Linked DNA regions of Caenorhabditis elegans. The protein of the gene in region 2 purifies or fractionates together with the protein of the main gene of each other region. This does not show direct contact. Each region holds a gene or a part of one and is shown on either strand. Other genes may lie near its edges. The genes, in order: zig-12, C02D5.4, sec-24.1 and F07A11.5.

What was found.
Region 1: the proteins of C02D5.4 (region 2) and zig-12 fractionate together in Caenorhabditis elegans (co-fractionation; one large-scale study listed by BioGRID). This does not show direct contact.
Region 3: the proteins of C02D5.4 (region 2) and sec-24.1 fractionate together in Caenorhabditis elegans (co-fractionation; one large-scale study listed by BioGRID). This does not show direct contact.
Region 4: the proteins of C02D5.4 (region 2) and F07A11.5 fractionate together in Caenorhabditis elegans (co-fractionation; one large-scale study listed by BioGRID). This does not show direct contact.

What each region holds. Positions count from the first base shown.
Region 1 is NC_003284.9:8,762,106-8,766,832, reverse strand, and holds zig-12 (Ig-like domain-containing protein), read right to left. Parts: upstream 2,927-4,727; 5' UTR 2,925-2,926; coding exon 2,859-2,924; intron 2,813-2,858; coding exon 2,678-2,812; intron 1,897-2,677; coding exon 1,806-1,896; intron 1,759-1,805; coding exon 1,646-1,758; intron 1,501-1,645; exon of another isoform or gene 1,355-1,500; intron 972-1,354; coding exon 783-971; 3' UTR 553-782; downstream 1-552.
Region 2 is NC_003281.10:8,550,881-8,554,362, forward strand, and holds C02D5.4 (Glutathione S-transferase omega), read left to right. Parts: upstream 1-1,674; 5' UTR 1,675-1,705; coding exon 1,706-1,748; intron 1,749-2,058; coding exon 2,059-2,523; intron 2,524-2,627; coding exon 2,628-2,884; 3' UTR 2,885-2,950; downstream 2,951-3,482.
Region 3 is NC_003282.8:11,561,464-11,567,834, forward strand, and holds sec-24.1 (Protein transport protein Sec24C), read right to left. Parts: upstream 4,732-6,371; 5' UTR 4,729-4,731; coding exon 4,629-4,728; intron 4,586-4,628; coding exon 4,418-4,585; intron 4,374-4,417; coding exon 4,266-4,373; intron 4,223-4,265; coding exon 3,276-4,222; intron 3,225-3,275; coding exon 2,970-3,224; intron 2,918-2,969; coding exon 2,686-2,917; intron 2,636-2,685; coding exon 2,175-2,635; intron 2,125-2,174; coding exon 1,243-2,124; intron 1,197-1,242; coding exon 969-1,196; 3' UTR 523-968; downstream 1-522. Other genes in the region: pold-2 (putative DNA polymerase delta small subunit), read right to left, coding at 1-110, 156-245, 291-369.
Region 4 is NC_003280.10:11,610,252-11,614,894, reverse strand, and holds F07A11.5 (Ribokinase), read right to left. Parts: upstream 2,596-4,643; 5' UTR 2,559-2,595; coding exon 2,500-2,558; intron 2,436-2,499; coding exon 2,176-2,435; intron 1,567-2,175; coding exon 1,310-1,566; intron 1,225-1,309; coding exon 1,113-1,224; intron 1,057-1,112; coding exon 980-1,056; intron 746-979; coding exon 566-745; 3' UTR 504-565; downstream 1-503. Other genes in the region: F07A11.4 (ubiquitinyl hydrolase 1), read right to left, coding at 3,589-3,637, 4,406-4,632.

The DNA.
Region 1 (4,727 bases), on a different chromosome or scaffold from region 2:
CTGTTTATTGGTTAATATGTAGTTCAAATATAATAACAACATCAGTTCTTCACAAAAATTGTCGGAAAAAGATTTTCAATCCAAGAAACCTGATTTTTGAACAAAGCCTCTAAACAGTGTCTAATGAGACACTAGTTTCAGCGCACACATTTTTTTAAATGGAGGTTTTAGGACAAAGTTGATATGTTCAAACAATGAAAAATTAAATAAACATTTTGTTACTTTCTCAAACCTTTCATTAAAAATATGTTTCTTGAGTTACAGTCGTTTTAGTAATCATCGTCAAAAACGGACTCACGAGATGCCCGCCGCTTTATTACTTGCCATGTGATGGATGAATAATTGCAACATGTAAAAATACATAGGCCTGATCACGAGCTACATTTTACCAGTTGAAAATTTTTTGGTACCTTTCCTAGTTTTGAAGTTATGCCCATTGGAAAAAATATCGAAATCGTCAAAAAACTGAAAGTGGATATCTTTTTGGCCAGCACTGTATATATATATATTGATTTCTGTACTTGCAAGTATATCTTCTCATGTTCAATGTGTCAAGAAACTTTTTTATTTTGGCTGATACCAATTCATGTGCATGGGACACAAAGTTCAAATTACTTTGAGAAGACAAATACTACAAAACGTTAAAAGTTACAGAAGAAAAAAAAGCGGAAAGTGCAACTACCAAAATCGAAAATCAGAAGCAACGATTAACATGAAAATTGATTTGAGGCTTTATGAATTGAATTGTATGACAATTAAAAACCAAGGGAAAATTTATAAAATTAATCGAAAACCAAGTTCAACGCTTGTTGGTTTTGTCCTTCGGAGTTCTTGACAACGCACTTGTATTTTGCTTCATCGTCTTTTTGTGGTCCGGTGATTTCGAGTAGGAATTGGAATCCGTCTTTGTCCTTATCGTCCTTCTTTACAACAGCCTTAACTCGGTCAGTGAATTTCACTGGTTTTTCATCCTGGAAGAATGAATTAGTGAAAAATATGAAATTTACTTTTTTTCTGTTAATTTAAAAATGATTTATACTAGACGGTCGTTCAGAAAATTTTTTCCAAAACAAGTTTGTTAATTTTATTTATCAAAGCATTCCAAAAAAACTCAAACTTGGTTCCAAGCATGCCCATTGAAATGTTCATTTTTCATTTTTCATTTTACATTTTGAACCAGACAACAAGTGAATTCTTTTAATGTTTATTGAACCTTTTTGCTTTTAGTTTTTTGCGCCATTTCTCTTTTTTGTTCACTACTCAAAACTTCGCTCTATCTGCTCCATGAGCCTCAAGTATCTGTCTCGGCACAACCCAAAGGCGCGGACGAGGAGGCCTCCCAACTTTTGTCTTATTTCCACACTTCTTTACATTACCCATCTCTGCCTTTCTATTTTGAATCCCCTTGAGAAAGCCGGAGAGGTTCACTTCGACTAACATAAATGTGGAAATTAGGACAACTACATTTTTTTCTTCGGTGGAAGAAAGAAGACAAAAGAAAAAAGACACGTCAGTCAGTCGATCCATCTTCGAGAAGCTCTATTCTGGTTCAACCAAAATGAATTTAGCAATGCCAAGAAAAATACCGAATAAGAATTCAGGGAAATTTTTTCCCCTAAGATTCAAAGTAAGGTGACAGACATACCTTGAACCATTCGGCCTTCATCTCAAGGTGGGACTTTGCGCGGACCTTAATCACAATCACATTTCCGTTATCTCTTTGAACAATATGTGGCTTGTCATGGAAGTCTGGGGCGTCTGAAATTGTATGTGTAAGCTTTTAGTGTTTTTGATAATGAGCTCACTTCCTGCTGCGACTGTGAAGTTAGAGCTGTTCTCTCCATCGGCGTTGGCAAAGACGGCTTTGTATTCTCCGGCAAGTGGTTTATCAAAGTCCTATAAAATGATGATTTAAAGAAGCAAAAAGGTGTTTTGTTAACAGTTAAAATTCATAATTCCGATTATTTTTTATCACAGGTAAAGCGGGATTGCTCAGAAGCGGCCCAATGGCAGCTGATAAAATCGTTTTTGTGTTCGGAGTTTTTTTTTAAGCTTAGAAAAACGAAATTTGCGACCGGGGCGGTCGACAATCGGCTTATTGGCTGACATGGAGACAGACCACCGGCGGACATCAGTTTTTTTTTTCAGTCTGCGGCATTTTGGACCGTTGGACAGTTTTTCAGTTGCTTTTCCGTTTTACCAGTAATGTAGCTTATGTGGTTTGTTTTTCAACTACTACTATCATTAGTAACTTTTACAATTATAGTTCCTAATGTGAAGTTCAAACTGCACGGCTTTTTTTAATGTTTACTGAATTTTCAAAATTACAGTTCACGTTATTGATGTATATTTAATGTGAGATACGAAAAAAATAAAGAATATAGTAAAGTAAAAAGTATTTTGTAATGATGAATGTACTTAGAGTTTCCTTTTGATCAAATGCTTAACCGTTGTTATGTTTTGCTTTTCACCTCCCGACCGACAGCTAATTCTGCTTTTGCCGCACTTTTGCCCAAAATCTACGGTAAGTCCATCAAAAACCAATTAAACGCAGATCAAAACACATACAGACAACAGTTGCAGAGCGCATCGCAGCAATGGGACCATAAAATGACTCGTGAGTCGTTTTATGTGATTTATACGAGATGCTTTGGCAAACAGTTGCTCTCAAACTGACCTTGATTTCGGCAACAAACTTGGTGCGGTTGCCTCCTTCGTCACTGTTTGAGAACTTCAGGAACTCGTTCTCCTCAAGCTCGTCTGGTCCGAAAAACCACTGAATCTTAGAAACATCAGCTCCAGTGACGATGACCTGGAAGAAAACTTAGCAATTTTCAAAAGGAAAAGCAAATTCGTACCTCAAGGAACACCGACCCGTTCTCTGATCTAATTTTTGGTTCTCCGTAAATTGATGGTGGTGCCATATCTGAAAAAATTAAAATCTGTAGTTTTATGATTGAATACGAAGCCATGAATATACGGAATCTCGGTAACCTAAAGTTTTACACACTAAAAGAAAAGAGGGGCGTGTTTTCTGATCAGGTAAGAGCGCCGCCAAGAGCGAATGAAAAATGATCTGCCAATGTGTTTTTACCATCATTTATCCATTGAGTTCACAGGAAAATAGGAGACGAAAGACTTCTTGAACGGTAGTTCGTAGTGGCTTTTGGGTGGGAGAACTAAGCAAACAATGTTTTATGTTCTCAATGAACAAGCACAAGTAGGGGAATGTTGGAGAAGATCTAGACAAGATGTGTCAACAGTATTTTGAGGGAAAACACTTTATAATGCTGAGAAAAAAAAGAAAAAGGCAAAAAGACCAATGGTTGAAGGTTGAAAAATGCTTCGAAAATTGAATCACTGGTTTTTTGTACATATAACAGTTGATTTTAGTCATGTTTTTTGTGCATTGAGATCAGCACTCAAGAATAAATTTAAAAAAAACAAATTTGAGAGGAGAACAAAAAATATGAAGAGGAGAAAAATGATGTCTCGCTTGTAGTTTCCAACTGACAAAAGTGCCAAGAGGTCGCTGTTAGAGTCCCATTTTCCCTTTATCTTTTTCTCTGTTTCACGAAGGTGTTGTAATTTCTACTTCTTCTGCTGCTAAGCTCTTTCTCCGCCTCCTGGTCGCTAGTCGGAGAACGAAACGACGAAAAAAGATGGGAAAGATGAATGTCCCGGGAGCCCCCCGGAGCTGCCCACAGATTTTGCGGAGGAGGAGAAAGGTGGATGGGATGGCACTTCCCACCTAACTCTTCATTTCTCGTCGACGTTGAAGATCCCAAAATTTTTACAAAGTTCTCAATGAAGAGCTGCAGGGCGAAGGCAAAGTTGACGAGACACGCTTCACAAAGGATATTTGAGAGTATTTTGAAATCGGAATCAATGAGCAATTTGGGAACGGATGGAAATGACGTCGCTGGTTGTTGTATGAGTATTAAGGATTTCAAAAGTTGTTAAATGAAAATGCCACTTTGAAACTGAGCAACTCGAAAGCAATGGATTTATAGACCTGTCACAATAGGACGATCATGATGTGCACATTTTTGCAAATCGCGGCGTGCGCATTGTGCATGGTTTCATTGATGATATCTGCATTGTACGTTCATAATGTCAATTCTTCGCGGTTCTTTATGACCACATTGCAATTCAACTATGTAGGTTTAGCATTGGGTCAAAGAACAATTTAGTTGATTGGCCTCATCTTACAATAAGCTGCATAATTTCCTATTTAGAAAGAAACCAGAGAATAAGCTACCAGACTTGGCCGAATAGAGCAATGTGGAAAACGATATAGGACACTTAAATGCCCCAGTCGCGTTAAAAATTAAAATATATTGCCTTTCTAGGTCTCAAAATGAGATGAATCCCAAAAATGGTAAAAACATAAGCTGACAATTTTTCAGTTAAAAACAAATTATTTTATAATAAACTTATATGAACCAAACTGTTTTCATTCTTACTTTTTTCTATCCAACACCTTGTAAGTTTTCCATATTGTAATTCAGCAGTGGAACTCCACATTCAATCTGAAAATCATGTATCAAAAGATCAAATATTATGTTTCAGAGAGTTCAAAGAGTAAGAGTGATATTGTATAAAGATGCCGAGAGTGTGTGTAATTTGAAACTTCGGTACGTCAGGGAATACCTTTCTCAAATTATTTTTCAAGTGTGTAATTCAAATATTTTCGCATGAAAAATATTTTGTAGGAGCAAGAGATA
Region 2 (3,482 bases):
GTTTGAATTTTTCCAGTTGTTTTCAAGAAGCTCGGCAAACTTATCTCGCATTCATTTAAAGTTTGAATTTATGTTCTTACTTGATTAGACTGGAAAAGAAAAAGAAAAACACATGTTTAATTGAAACTTCAATAACTTGTTCTAGCTTCTGTGACCTTTCCAATCAGAACAATTATCACGAATGATTACTTGTGCTTACTCAATTTCATGTACTTTTGCTTAGAATTGATGTAAATGTGTTCAGAACCATAGAAAAATTCCGAAGTTTTCGAAATGCAGTTACCGTCCACTTCCATTTCAGAATTTCATGCTTCATATTATCAGCATTTGAAGGCCTACTCCCATTATCCAGTCTGATGTGTAACCCACACTATGTGACGAATATTCTGATGAAATTTAGTAAGCACAAGTTATCATTTTTAACAGTTATTTTTATCGTGACTGTCACAAACTCCAATTTTCTTTTCGAACAATACCGACCTGGTGCATTTTTCTTGAAAGATATTAATCTCTATATTGCAATACAATATTGTAAGATAGTTCAAAGTCTTAGAATTGGTCTACATAACTCCGTAATTGGAATTAAAGTAAAGGCACCGGACTACCTACCGACCACTCATTGTCAGCATTTGGCACTAGCTTCTTGCCAAAGTTGGCCAAACGTTTATAGTTTTCTGCAATTTTTTGTTACTTTTTAGTTGAGTGGTATAGTTGTTGGCAGTAGGTGCGCTTGTCGACACGAGGCAGGTATTTCTGTGCCTACAGGCCTTCTACTTCAGACATGATTTCTGCAACAATTTAGATGACTAAAATCTGATGAAATTGGGAAATCGCCAGACATCATTTTCTAGAAACATTTTGATCGCAATGATCTTGGCAGAAAGTCTATTTCATTATCATCTCATCTTTAAAAGAACATAATTTTTAAGAAAAATCTATTGGCAAACTGTGTTTCTACTTTACTTCACAGGAAGAGCAACGTTTGTGTGTGTCTGTATTTTGTGCCAATATGTGGTTTGTAGCACAGCTATGCTACAAAGTTCAAATTCGTTTTGAAGGGGGAGAGAGGAACCCCGTGATTTCTGTGTTGTCTTATTCTCATCATTAAACTCTGAACATTCAGCAATTTTGATCCATAATACTCAAACTTCTAGTTTCATCATCCTCATCTTTTCTGGTGCCCCATTATCCTCTGATTCTAAAATATAGTTTTCCACCGTGAACTTCTCAATTTTTTCCAAATTCTTTAGCGTACTTTACTTCTGAAAAACTGTGCAATCTCATTTTCAGAATCTCCACTCAATTTTCATTCATTCAGTATGCAAACTATAAATTCGAGGTAATTTAAGGATCAAAAAGTCCTTGGGAAGGTCAATAACCAATGACATGCCGCGAAGAAAAACGCAGGCAATCCTTGAAAAGAGACGATACGCAGACTATTAAACAGAGATGTTTGTCATCATTTCTGTCTTCTCGTTCTTCTCTATTTCACTCTCCTCCATAAAAAGACTATTTATACCAAACTATTCTTCACTTTGAGCATCACTTTCTGAAGACTAGACTTAATTTTTGCCTTCTTTAAAAATCTGAAGTATTGAAGATTTTATTTCATTTAAATTTGATTTAGAACTCTTGTCTTTTACTATTCCATCAAAATATAAATTAAATTTTCAGACTTATTCGCCGATTCATTTCTCAAAGAAACATGACAGTGCTTGCTGGAGTAAACAGTAAAATCGTCAAAAATGGTAAGGCTTCATTTCCAATTTTAGTTCAAGAATTCCCAAAAAAAGATAAAAAATTAATCACAGAGTAATATAATAATTGTATGTCCATATTGCATATGCAATACTATTTTTCTCAATCAATAACTTCAAGTGCAACTCTGATAGGGTTGCAATTCTTTTTCAGGGAAAATATGGTATTTAATTTGCTCAAATTGTAAAGAAGTGTTCCACTTTATCAAAAAATAGTTGGATATGATTAAAGTTCAAGTTTAATATTATTTATTAGAAAATCCTATCTTAGTTTTGCGGAAATTTAATATTATTTTTTCAGGTGACCCAGCGCCAGCTCCTCCGGCTGCTGGAACCATTCGTATCTACAACATGCGATTCTGCCCGTGGGCTCAACGTGCTCTAATCTATGCATCTGTTAAAAATATACCGAGCGATGTTATCAATGTTCACTTGCAAGAAAAACCCGACTGGTACTTCTCAAAACATTACAAAGGACAAGTTCCGACATTGGAGCACGACGAAGGAAAGAAGCATGTTATTGAATCAGCTGTGATTCCAGAATATTTGGATGATATCTATCCAGAGACTCGTATTCTTCCAACTGATCCTTACGAGAAGGTTCAGCAAAAGTTATTGTTGGATAGAATCAGTGGACAAGTGTCACCTGCATTCTACGGAGTCGTTCAAGCTGTCAAAAATCCAGATCTCCGCGAAGAAAAATTTGCGGATATCAAGAAGGCGTATGATAATGCTGAGCAGTTATTGACTGGAGATTTCTATTCAGGTATTTTTTAAGAATTAAGATTGAGAATGCGAAACTTATAAAGAACAGAAACTAAGTTGTAGTTTTAGTCTTGTGTATTTTAAAATTATTTGAATTAATTTCAGGAACCTCAAAACCTGGATTTGTTGACTATCTTCTCTACCCGAACATTCAACGCGCTTACTGGGCAGCACACATAGTTCCAGATTTCCCATTGGAAGCTGAATCGTTCCCAGGACCAAACTATCCAAGACTATCCAAATGGTACAAGGCTCTGGAATCGATTCCAGAAGTTGCCGCTGCCAGTCAGCCAACAGAGAATGGGGTTGGATTCTTCAAGGATTACCTCGGTGGATCTCCAAACTATGACTATGGATTGTAAACATTTGTTATTATATTTTTAAACTTTGTGTTGTGGATGTGAATATGTGGAATTTAATAAAACATTTCTCGATATAATAATGATTTTGTTGAATTAGAAAAATTAGAAAAGTGGACGATTCTAAAAACAAAAGTTACAACGAAAATCATCGAAGGAAAAAACAACTGAATTCCAAAATAGTTTTCAGAGGTGATCACAAAATGTTCTCAAACGATATATATTCTACCATCAATAATTTTATTGGCACTATATCACAGTCCATAATTCCTGTGCTTTAATTATACTTTTCAGTATAGAACAATATGCTATATTATCAAGTTATGCGTCCAATAAACACAATTTATTTTTCAGACTGAATTTAAGCCATATTGAGAATAGCGAAATAAAAACGTAGAGGAAATTTGTGATCGCCATTCACAATTAATTCTTAGATCGCAATGATAACAAACTTCGATTCAAAAGTCATCATGCAAATTCACCGTTCTCGTGTGTGTGTGTTTTTGGAGGAAATAACACAATTTTGTGACTGATTTTTTTACAACATGTGGTTTGTAGCATAGTTCAAAGTCATTCTAGAGGGGGCTCAGAGGGAGTTCTT
Region 3 (6,371 bases), on a different chromosome or scaffold from region 2:
TTTCAAAATTGATGGTCTTGCAGCTATTCTCTTTACAATAACGCCGACCACGAAGATTTCCTCGTCTTGTTTAGCATCGCTCAATTGTGAATGCGTGAATTTTCCCTTGCCTGAAGATAAAAATTAAGGTTTATTAGTAATATTATAATTCTAACCAATTTCACGTTCTGCATTTTCCAAAATACGAGGTTTCAGTTCCTTCAAGCGAGCTTCGTAGACTTCAAAGTACTGTCTAGTGAACGCACCTGAAAGAAAATAACTTTTTAAAGCTTAGAGCAAAATATAAATACCTTTTTTATCTTTTTCAGTGAGAATGTATCGATCTGAGACATTCTTATAGTTTAGGATGTTGGACCAAGCGGTTTCCATTCTTAAAATAAAGAAAAAAATCAATTCAAGAAGGCAAATTTGTCAATGTTGAAATTTCGCGGCAAATTGCGTTAGAGCGCGTTAACATTACACCGAAGTGAATTTCAAAAATATAATATTCACAAAGTCAACATATTCGATTCTCAAATGTTTAATCAAAAACATTTTATTTTCATAAGACACCATCAAATTAAACACATTCGATCCCATTTCAAATCACAATAAATTATATGGACGGGGTAATAGGGGATATTTTACAAAAAAAGGAACAATAAATAGAAATCTCTAAAAGTCGCGAGAGCAACTGGAAAAGAATAAATTAGGAATCTGGGAAAAAGCAGATAAAACAAATTCTATTTTTGCACTGATAAGGTGCTAGGAAAGCTAATATCTTAATTTTTACAAACCATGCTCCATAATATTAAAAGAAAATAGTACGGCGAGAGGGAAGGAAATGAATGTGTACAAAGAAACCGGTACAAAATATTAATTCTTCCAACATTTCTAATCACAAGATTTGCTTTGGCGTGATCAAAATAATATGAAGGAAGAACAAAGGGAACAATCAAGAGAAGCAATTCTATCACAGTATCAACGACTTAGGAAATGAGATCGCGGATTTTGCGATGGATATCCACAAGGTAATCAACGTATGACATATTAGCAGGACCAGCCTTGTCTTCCACTAAAAATTTCTTCATCCATGGCTCAAGGCCGCTTTTTTCCACGACAACGAACGTTTTTCGCTCTCGGATCCCACGTGGCAAAAGTTGAATTGCACGACGAAGAGCACGTGAATGACCATTGTCTTTTTCCGGAATTGTTCCCTGAAAAATGTAATTGACTAATTGAACGTAGCAATTGATAACTTACACTCTCGGTATCAATTTGATTTGTAGCACCAACACCAAACACGTCTTGAACCCATGTCTGGGGGCATGCAGAGCCAACCCAGACAAACAGAATAACACCGTTATCAATAATATAGGCTTTCGAATTTTCCAGGAACTCAGAACTCGCTCTAACAGGTTTTGGAAGATCCTTCATTTCTTCAGTATCATTGATTTGTAGATCAGAGATTGGCATAACTCTTGGATAAATAAGAGGCATGACATTTTCAGTTCGTAGCCCACGGATCAATTCCATCTGCCACACTTTGTCGTCGACTGTCATTTCACTTCCTCCACTGATCGCATCATTTTTCAAAATAGAGTTCACATAGAGCGGCATCAATTTCAGAGATTCAGGAAGAATCAGTTGTCCAAGTGGGGCACCTTCACTACACTTCTCTCGATAGGTCGCTAGGAATTGTGCACAACGAGAAGAAAGTGATTCTCTCATTTCTGAGCTTCCCTTGTCACGATTCAATTGAACAGCTTGCTTCAACATGAATGCTGTCAATGCTTCCGGATCAGCAAGTCGGTAAACTTGGTTGTAATCAGCAGTAACTGGAAGGCATAAGTTCAAAATTCGCAAACGGCGCTGTCCAGTCATCGACGTATACAGTACAGCGGTTTGAATGAAGGAAGCTGGATCTTTCAGACTATCATCATGTTTGATTTCTGTGATGAATGCTTTGCTTTCATCCAATGTAGCCAATTCCAAATCCGTTGAGTTTTCCATGTAAAAGGAGCCAGTAAAAGTGATAGGACGAATTCCTGTAGACGTTCTTACTCTTGCCATGCAGTCGAATGCAATTTTCTTAGAAACGTGTCGTTCCAACTCATTCAACATGCGAACACCGTCTTTATCGGCCTGAAATAAAAATAAAATTAATAAAATTATTGGTTTTTCTTTAAATTTACCGAGAAATACTGAAATTTGAAAATAGATCCTCCCGTAACTGCAGAAAGCTGACCAATTGTGGCAACATCAATGAAAGCATTTGGGAAGAGGAATAAATCGACAGTAACTCCTGACTTGACACATTGCTCTCCCAACTTCGTGTATGAATCTTCTTGTGGAACCAGTGCATTCTTTTCTTTATCTGTCCCGAGAAGAGATCGATCATTTTTGGATTTCAGCTTTCCCGGTGCATCATATGTTGGTAGAACAGTTGAAAACAGAATCACTTTTCCTGCTCTGTCGGCACACTTCAAAGCGTCAAGACCGGCTTGTACGACGGGTTGAAGAATGGTTTCGGTGGTTTTCGACTGCGAAAAGAGTTTAGGAATTTCAGCCAATGCGGCACGAAGTCCAGGAAGTGCCTCGTTGTAAGGGAGAAGAAGTCCATCGACCATAGGAACAAATGGCTCTTGAACATCAGCTAAAAACAGTACATATTTAGACAAATTTTTATAAGTTTATCAAACTTACACATTACGAGCATTTTTGGAGATGCCGACGAAATGTCAAAGAAATGAACCGCCTGATCGAATGTAGCCAATCCTATACGCATAGACGACTCGAGCTGTCCAGATTCTCTTGGCAAATTTCGAAGTACTTTCTCCAGATTTTGACAAAGAATTGGAAGCATTCCGTTTGAAATAGCATTGTAGGATACATCAATCATAAATATGAAGGCCGGTTCTTTTGGCGCGATTCCATTCTAAAAATGTCACTTAGAATTTTTGAAAATTGCGATTTTTTTAATTACGTACCTTGCAGTATTGTTTTGTAGCTACGAGATCATACGCTCCAAGACAGAGTTCTGGACGCATTTCAATATCAGTTCTTCTGCCTGTATGATCGAGATGGGCGAAATAAGCATCTTCGACAGAAGTTCGAGCATGGCAAAATGGACAACGGAAGGAGCGTCCACCATCTTGGAATTCCATAAACGGACAAATGTATGCCTTACAACGCTGGCAACGAATCGGTCCTTGTGGTCCCAGATCGACGACTGGTGGTTCTTTCTGAAATTGAAAATAATTGATTATTCATTTTTGAAAAATTAAAAAAAAAACCTCATATTCAGTCAGAGATGCGAATGGCGAAATGACAACGGCGAGCGGAATCTGCGATGCTTTCAAAATGTCATTAGTCTGTGGAGCTGTGTAGAGGGTTGATCTCATAAATTTGGGGTTGCAGTTTCCTTGATCTTGAGCGAAAGAATTTGTAGAAACAAGTGGCGGCAATTCAGCGTTCGGATATCCAGTTGGGAAGATCCCGCTACGAGTCGACGAATCATCATCAATAACTTGAACAGCACTTGGCATCATATTAGGATCAAGACGTTGTTGTCGTTGCTGTGGTGGGCCGCCGGGGTATCCACCTTGCATTCCCGGCATACCTGGACCTCCTGAGGGATATCCGCCGGGACCTCCTGGGCCTGGAGCTCCTGGAGCGAATGATCCTGGCATTCCTGGTCCTCCTGGGCCTGGGGCTCCCGGGGGAAATGATCCCGGCATTCCTGGTCCTCCTTGTCCTGGAGGGAATGCTCCTGGCATCCCTGGTGCAACTGGAGCTGAGGCTCCCGGAGGAAATGCTCTTGGCATGCCTGGGCCTTGTGGAATATCTGCTGGGCCAGAGGGATATGATCCTGGAACTTGTGGACCGGGTGGAAACGAGCCCGCTGTGGGTTGTCCTGGTGGAAATCCTCCTGTGCCAGGTGGGATGAACGAATTGGGCGCTTGAGGCACTTGTGGAGCACCTGGGTAAGCGCTAGGAGCAGAAGATGGTCCACCTGGGTAGCCTTGAACATTTTGTGAAGTGGGTGCTCCAGCTTGGAACGAACTTGGAGAGCCGCCTGCCTGTGGAAAACCAGGGATTTGTGGTCGAAGCGGAGTGGGTTGATGGATCTGATGTGGTTGTGGCGGCAGATGAGCTCCTTGGTTCATTTGCGGAATTCCCGGAGTCGGAGCAGGCGCTTGTTGCATTGCTTGAAGTGGACCTGCAGGTGTGGCACTAGGAGCTAAAATAGAAGTTTTAGCTTTGCCTCTATAAACACTATTTACCTTGAACACTTTGAGGTACAGCGGCGAACTGTTGAGGAGTTTGCTGTCTCTGTACTTGTTGCAATTGCTGTGGTGGAGCTCCGGGATATCCTGCTGGCTGGTACGGATCTTAAAATTAAACTTAACGGATTAGCGAAAAAAAAGCAACTCACTTGGGGGTTGTGCTGACGGAGTTGATCTAGCTCCAATAGACATATTATTCACAGATTGTGCCAAGTGAGACGAATTTCCATTTAAGCCTCCATTTTGATACTGTCCATTTGGTTGCTGATGGGGTGGAGGAAATCCACCTGGGACTTGAGCTGGCTTTTGCGGCGCTGCTAAAACAATTGTTGTATTATGCAAATGTTCATATAAACTCACCTGGAGGGGGAAATCCGTTTGACTGAAACTGCGGCTGTTGGTTAAATTGCTGTTGAGGATATCCGGGCATTTGCCCGTTTGGTGGCGGCTGATATGACATCCTGGAACAAGTATAAAGATTATTTTATATTTTTCAAAATAAAAAAGCTAGAAATCGAGCTAGAAATTAATTAAATCCCGAAAAGAACGTTGATTTTGCTGTAAAGTTCCATGTCACAGCGCGATCCACCGTGTACGCAAACGTCGCGGTGGGCAAATCGCTGCGAGACCCAGCGTGCTGCGTCTCTTCAGGCAACAGCTGTCTCTCTTCATTTCGGCACTTTTTGAATTTTAATTTTTTGTTTTGTTGTTTTTTTTTCTTTTTTCTTTGTTTCCGTAAATGGAAATGTTGATAATTATTTAGATTACACCTAGGCGATTAAAAATTACTATTTGAATCAGGATTCTGTAGGTTTTGAATAGAATATTACCCGCTAGTACTGCTTGTTCAGTTTAATTCGGGAAATCCTTCTAAACTCCAACTAGATGTGATAATAGACCTTATTAATAATATCGATGCACGTTTTTGTGTGCTCAAAATTACAAAAATTTGGCTAAACACATTTATATTCAAAGTAAGGTTTCAAAAAAAAAAAATTTCCTCACGATATTCATTAATGAGGTTCTTATTATTTATGCTAATTGTGGTATAGATCGCCAGCTGTTTCTCAATCCCTTTCTCGTTTTCCGTATTTCGTATTCAAACCGCACCGCCCTTCTCTGTTTTTCTGGATCTCACCGTCCATTACTGGCAACAATAGGAAAGAGTTTTCTTTTATTCTGACCTCTTCCCTCCCTATTCAGTATGTTTGTACAGTTTCCATTTACATTAGTCACTCGCTCACTTTTTGACTTTTTTTTTGCAATCTTTCGGCCCACTCAAACCCTCAAGAAAATGTATCAGTTTCAACTTTGTTCCTATAAATATTGATATCAGGGTGTCTACACGTTTCACTGTTTTTTTGTATCCCGGAACATTAGTAACACAAATGACCCGATTCCAATGGCAATTAGGCGCTTCGAATCCTTTCACCGTCTGCCACTTATGGTCTCAAGGTTAAGTTATTATTGTTACTGTCAGGTACTACCCATCGGATAAAAAGACGATTGAACATCCCTCACGAATGTTTAATTTCGAACTCTATTGAATATACTTGTAAGAAATATTATTTTGTGCTTATAGTTTTTTCAAAAAATGCTTTTAAGCTTCAGTTTGACAAATAAATTCGGCTTCGTTAGCTGAATTTCCCTTGCCCTTTCACTTTTGATCAATTAGTGCAGAACGACGGATGGTTTAAATTTTACGATTCCCTAAAGACTTCATTTCCCAGGCACGATGCTAAAATAATGTAATTGTGTATCAGAAGCGAAGTGAAATCGGTAGAGAACACTTGCGTCAGGTGTCACATATCCTTTTTTGGTCCTTTTCCTTCGTTCTATTCACGTCCATTAGGTATTTATTACTTTATTAGAGCTTGTTATGACGAATGAGCCGCGGATAAACAATGCATGTTCTTTTACTTCTTTTGAGTGTGTGCCGCCCGCATCCGCCGCTCAACACATCCATTATGATGCTAATAAGTTTTATCCTTATTTTGTCGGTCATGAATTATACAAATCCGCATTTATTTTACTTACCCGATTTTTAATGACAATTTTGAGTTATGAACTTGAAAGCATTGAAATTATTTTGATCAATTTGTG
Region 4 (4,643 bases), on a different chromosome or scaffold from region 2:
AGGATTTCTGTCTTTTTGGCACACCGCTTTCTCAATTTTCCTCCCTACTAGACACTAATTCAAGTCTCTCATGAAAATAGCGGATCAGTTTTCGTAAAATGTTAGTTTAAGACCTCCCCCCCCCCCCCCGTCCCATCTACTATTTAAACATTTTCCAATTTGTCGTCATTCTTATATTATTTAATTCATCATTCTTGTCTTTCGTCTGTATTTTTATCGGAGAAGCTCTCGACTCGCTCGAAAAACGAAAACAATGAAATAATTGAATTTACGCAAATTTCTTTATACACAATGACTATGCGATTCTGGAAATTAAATTTTCAGCATTTAAATTTGTTGAAAAGGAAAATAACAAAACGGGAAAGAAATTCATTATAGGAGAATTGTGTTATTTTGGAACAAACATTAACATTAAACGGTAAATTTCCAAATTTTCAAAAAATTCAGGCTCCCTGCAATGTTCAACAGCTAATTAAAACATATTGAAAGTATAAAATGTGTTTGGAAAGCAGAATTTTTATTTCAGACCTAATCACAAATTTCTTGAAAGACACTGTAATAAGTTTTAAGGCAAGAATTCCGGGTATTGTTGGCGAATCTCGTCGAGCTTCCAATAACTCGATTGAGTTCCATGACGTGTCACAGAAAGTGCGGCCAAGTTGGCAGCCGAGCGTATTGATGCGGAAATCGGATGGCCGGCAACCAAATGAGCAGCCAGTGAACCACAGAAACAGTCACCGGCTCCCTGGAATTTTCAATTAATATTATACCTATATGCAGATTGATCTTGTTCATATTTCCTCCAGGTTACTGTAGAAAACTTGCGCCAAAAATTTTGATTTTGATAAAGTAGTTTTTTAGAGGCCCATGCACAACATTTTTAACTAAAAATAACTAGAAAGGCAACTAATTTCTTTCGTTTCAAAAAATATATTGTGGTGGGACCCAAGCTCGGACAAAATTTATTTTTTAGTATTACCGTAGTATCAACTGCATCGACTTTGATCACGGCGGTATGCTCAACATCATCGACTCCTTTGGATGCAAGCAGGACACCTACAATTCAAAAAAAAATTTATTGTTTCAAATTATCCCAGTGTAAGTCCCCCAACCTTTGCCTCCGAGAGTTATGATCGCATGTTGAGGTCCCATTTTGAGCATTGCACGTGCTGCTTTTTCAGCGTCTTTCACGTTGTTTTGAGCGATTCCAGTGATGAATTCCGCCTGGAAAGTTGAAATTTAATTTATTTTTTGTTCAGAACAATATTTGGAAAAGTTCAATTGATTAGAAAAAATAACATAGACCTACTTCATTCTCATTGGTACAAATAATATCAACCAGCTCGAGAATCGTCTTATCCATATTCGGATCCCCAGGAGCTGGATTTAAAAAAGTGGTGACTCCGTGACTTCTAGCAATTTCGAAGGCTCTTCTATTTCCTTTTTCGTCAATTTCTCCCTGACAAATGACCATTTTCGAGCCAGCAATTTTTGAAGAGTTCGCATCAGCGATTTCAGGCGACATTTCAAGATTTGCACCCAGCGTCACCACAATGTTGTTTTCGCCTGGAAATTTTGGAATTTGGATTTGAAATAATGTAAGTCTCATGTAAATCTGAAAATCAAGAAAATTTAATTTTTCGAATTTACCATATTTTAATAGTTTTACACCTCAATTGCACTGTAACAAATCGAACTTTTCATGTCTGTAGATGCTATTTGAAATATTTTTTCTACATATGTCAAATTCCAATTTTCTACTAGATGCATCACATTTTGAGCTCACTTTTTGAGTCTAAAAATTTGTAATTCTCCTTACCCTCTCTCCCCCACTTCTTACTATTAGTTCCAGTTCAAAGTTATTTGTTTGTCGTCGTCACTGAAGGTTCTTCGAAATAATAAGTTATTTATATTACGTCACCAAAAAAATGGGGGAAAAAGAAAGAGAAAATAGATTCTATGAACGTAGACAAATCGTTTTCAGAACAAAATTAGAATTTCAGTGATCTACGAGCTATAAGAACAGATATAGCTATAGGAACTTATTCTTAACCCGGTTGGCAATTTTTTCTTAGAGGTAGGGTCTTGCTACAAATATTGAATGTTTCTTCAAGACATTCAAGAGGCCACACATAATCTTAAATATTTTTTTCCCGCCAAAACTCGGATACAAACCTTCTTTGTTAACAGTGATAGTCGCTGTGGCGGTATGTGTCTTTTTGGTCCGTCCCACACAACTTGTATCAACTCCATTGCTGCTCAAATCCTTAATATTAGAATCTCCGAACATATCTTCTCCAACCATTCCAATCATTGAGACATTGATCCCTAGGCGAGCCGCAGCAACTGCCTGATTGGCGCCTTTTCCGCCGGAGCCCAGCTTGAAATTGTGACCGCGCACCGACTCTCCAGGTCTTGGGAAACTATCTGTGTAGCTGGAAATTGGTAGTTTATAATGTAAAATTGTTTAATGAAAGATAAAATTTAAAAAAAACAGACCTGACAAGATCCTGAACGATACTTCCGAAAACCACGATTTTCTGGTTTTCACTTGACATAACGATATGCTTTTTTTTTAATTTAGAAAATTCTGAAATAAAAAAATAAAAATGCGATTGATAGCACGTGTCAAATAATCAAAGAAACACAAAAAAGAGAAGAGAGAAAGAGAATCAGGTGGTTAGCTTGTTGAGGGCAAAAACTGTTTGCCAACAAATTTGGCAGCTGGTCAGTTATGGTAAGAGAATAAGACACACGTAGTATTATTTTCCAGAAATTTTTTAGGTGGCTAAAAATGCCTGCCTGCCTCATGCCTACACTCTACTGAAAGGAAACATGTTAGTCCTCTTGAAAGCGAAGCAAATAATTTGTAGGCAGGCACGTAGGCCCGTTCGCATGAAGAACCTACAATGATGACAGACCCTATAATTCCTAGAAAAAGCTTTCAAAAACCAAAAGCAAATTTTAAAAAAAGCAAAAAAATTTTTTTTGAAGGTTCCCAAACAGATAATGTTCCCATTTTAAACCATTCAGGTCAGATAAAATTGTGATCAAAAATTAATTGTTTTGGTTATTTTTTTGATCTTTAAAAATTTTCACTGACAGTGATTTTATGTGAAAAAAAAACAAAACAATGGCGTCATATATCACGGGCCAAAATTCAGAAATCAGGCGATAGGCAGGCACGTAGGCCTGCAAAATGGCACGTGAATGGCCTCAAAATGCATTGAACTAAAAACAGATAATATTTGGAACTCGTATCTTATCTTTTCCCCTTCTTATCAATTTTCATCGGCTTATCTTGATTTCTTTTTTCTTTTTTTCCTTTGCAGTCAAGGACAGAATTTTAATTTTGAAATTAATTTATTCTCTTCGGGGAACAAAAAAAAAACTGAAACCGGTCTCCGTGGATTCAAACAATTGTTATTTTAATAATCAATAAAATTAGGAAAATTAATGAAAAATATATAAATATTAAATCAAAGATGTAATATCTAAAAACATGGTAACAGGTTTTGAAAGAAATGAAGACAATGAACAACACGTGGAAAAAAAAATTGATGAATTTATGAAAATCTAGAAAAATGACTAAATTTTGACTTCTTCTGGAGCTCCAGGATCACACGAGTAGTGGCGTCTGAAATAAAAAATTGTTCATTGATCGGAATAGGTTACTTTGATAAAAACCCAGCGCGGTGATCATTAAAAATTAAATCATTAAAAAAAAAAAAAAACTCATCAGTTTGAAAATGAACAACTAGTTCCAAAATAAAAAATATTATGGAAAAACTTTCAAAACCTTTTTTGAAATTTTTATTCCAGTGAAAAAGTTCTGAACATTCAGTTTTCAAGCATTACCTTGTAAGTCGGTCAAAATATGTTATCCTGGTTTTTTTTTACTAATTTCGTACTAATTGTTTTTTTCAAATTCTAGGAGCTCGAACCTGCAGGATATCTTAAATAACCACAGAAATTCACAATTTTTTGGCGATTTATGAAATCTTTGCCTAAAAGTTTTGAAAAAACAAGCAAATCACGGTTTCTTATTATTGAAATCCAAAATTTTTATTTAATTTTTTAAAGAAAAATTTAAGAAAAAAATTTTCAATTTGCGTGACCTCGGTCGTGGAACTTATTATTTAGATTTGGAATATATAAATTGTCCAAATCTGAAGCTGAATCAATCAGTTCTCACTTTTATCCAATGCTTACAAATTCAATTATCAATTTGCTTATTACAATAGTGCTTTCTAATCAACTATCATACTATCAATACCGTGCTGGAAACTATCTCAATTATTTGAACGTCTTCGTCTCAAAAAAAGCCGTTCTCAGGATTTATCGATTTTCTTGAATTTCAGGAAATTCTTTCCCAGATTTATAGTTCTTGGGGTTTCCAACTCACTTGAATATACTCCTCGTCACATTCTGATCTCTCATTTTATAGAAGAGTAAGTAAGCATCCTCCGTTTGTAAAGTGCTCGTAGACTGCCGAGCCACCGTCGAATCATCGAAATTCCTCCATTCGATTTTCGTTTTCGACGAATCAAAATCGGCGAGTCGACCCATACTAATATAATGACCGAAGTAACTGTTTCCACTATGGCATACTACTCCCGTTAGATCATACATCTGAAATTTCA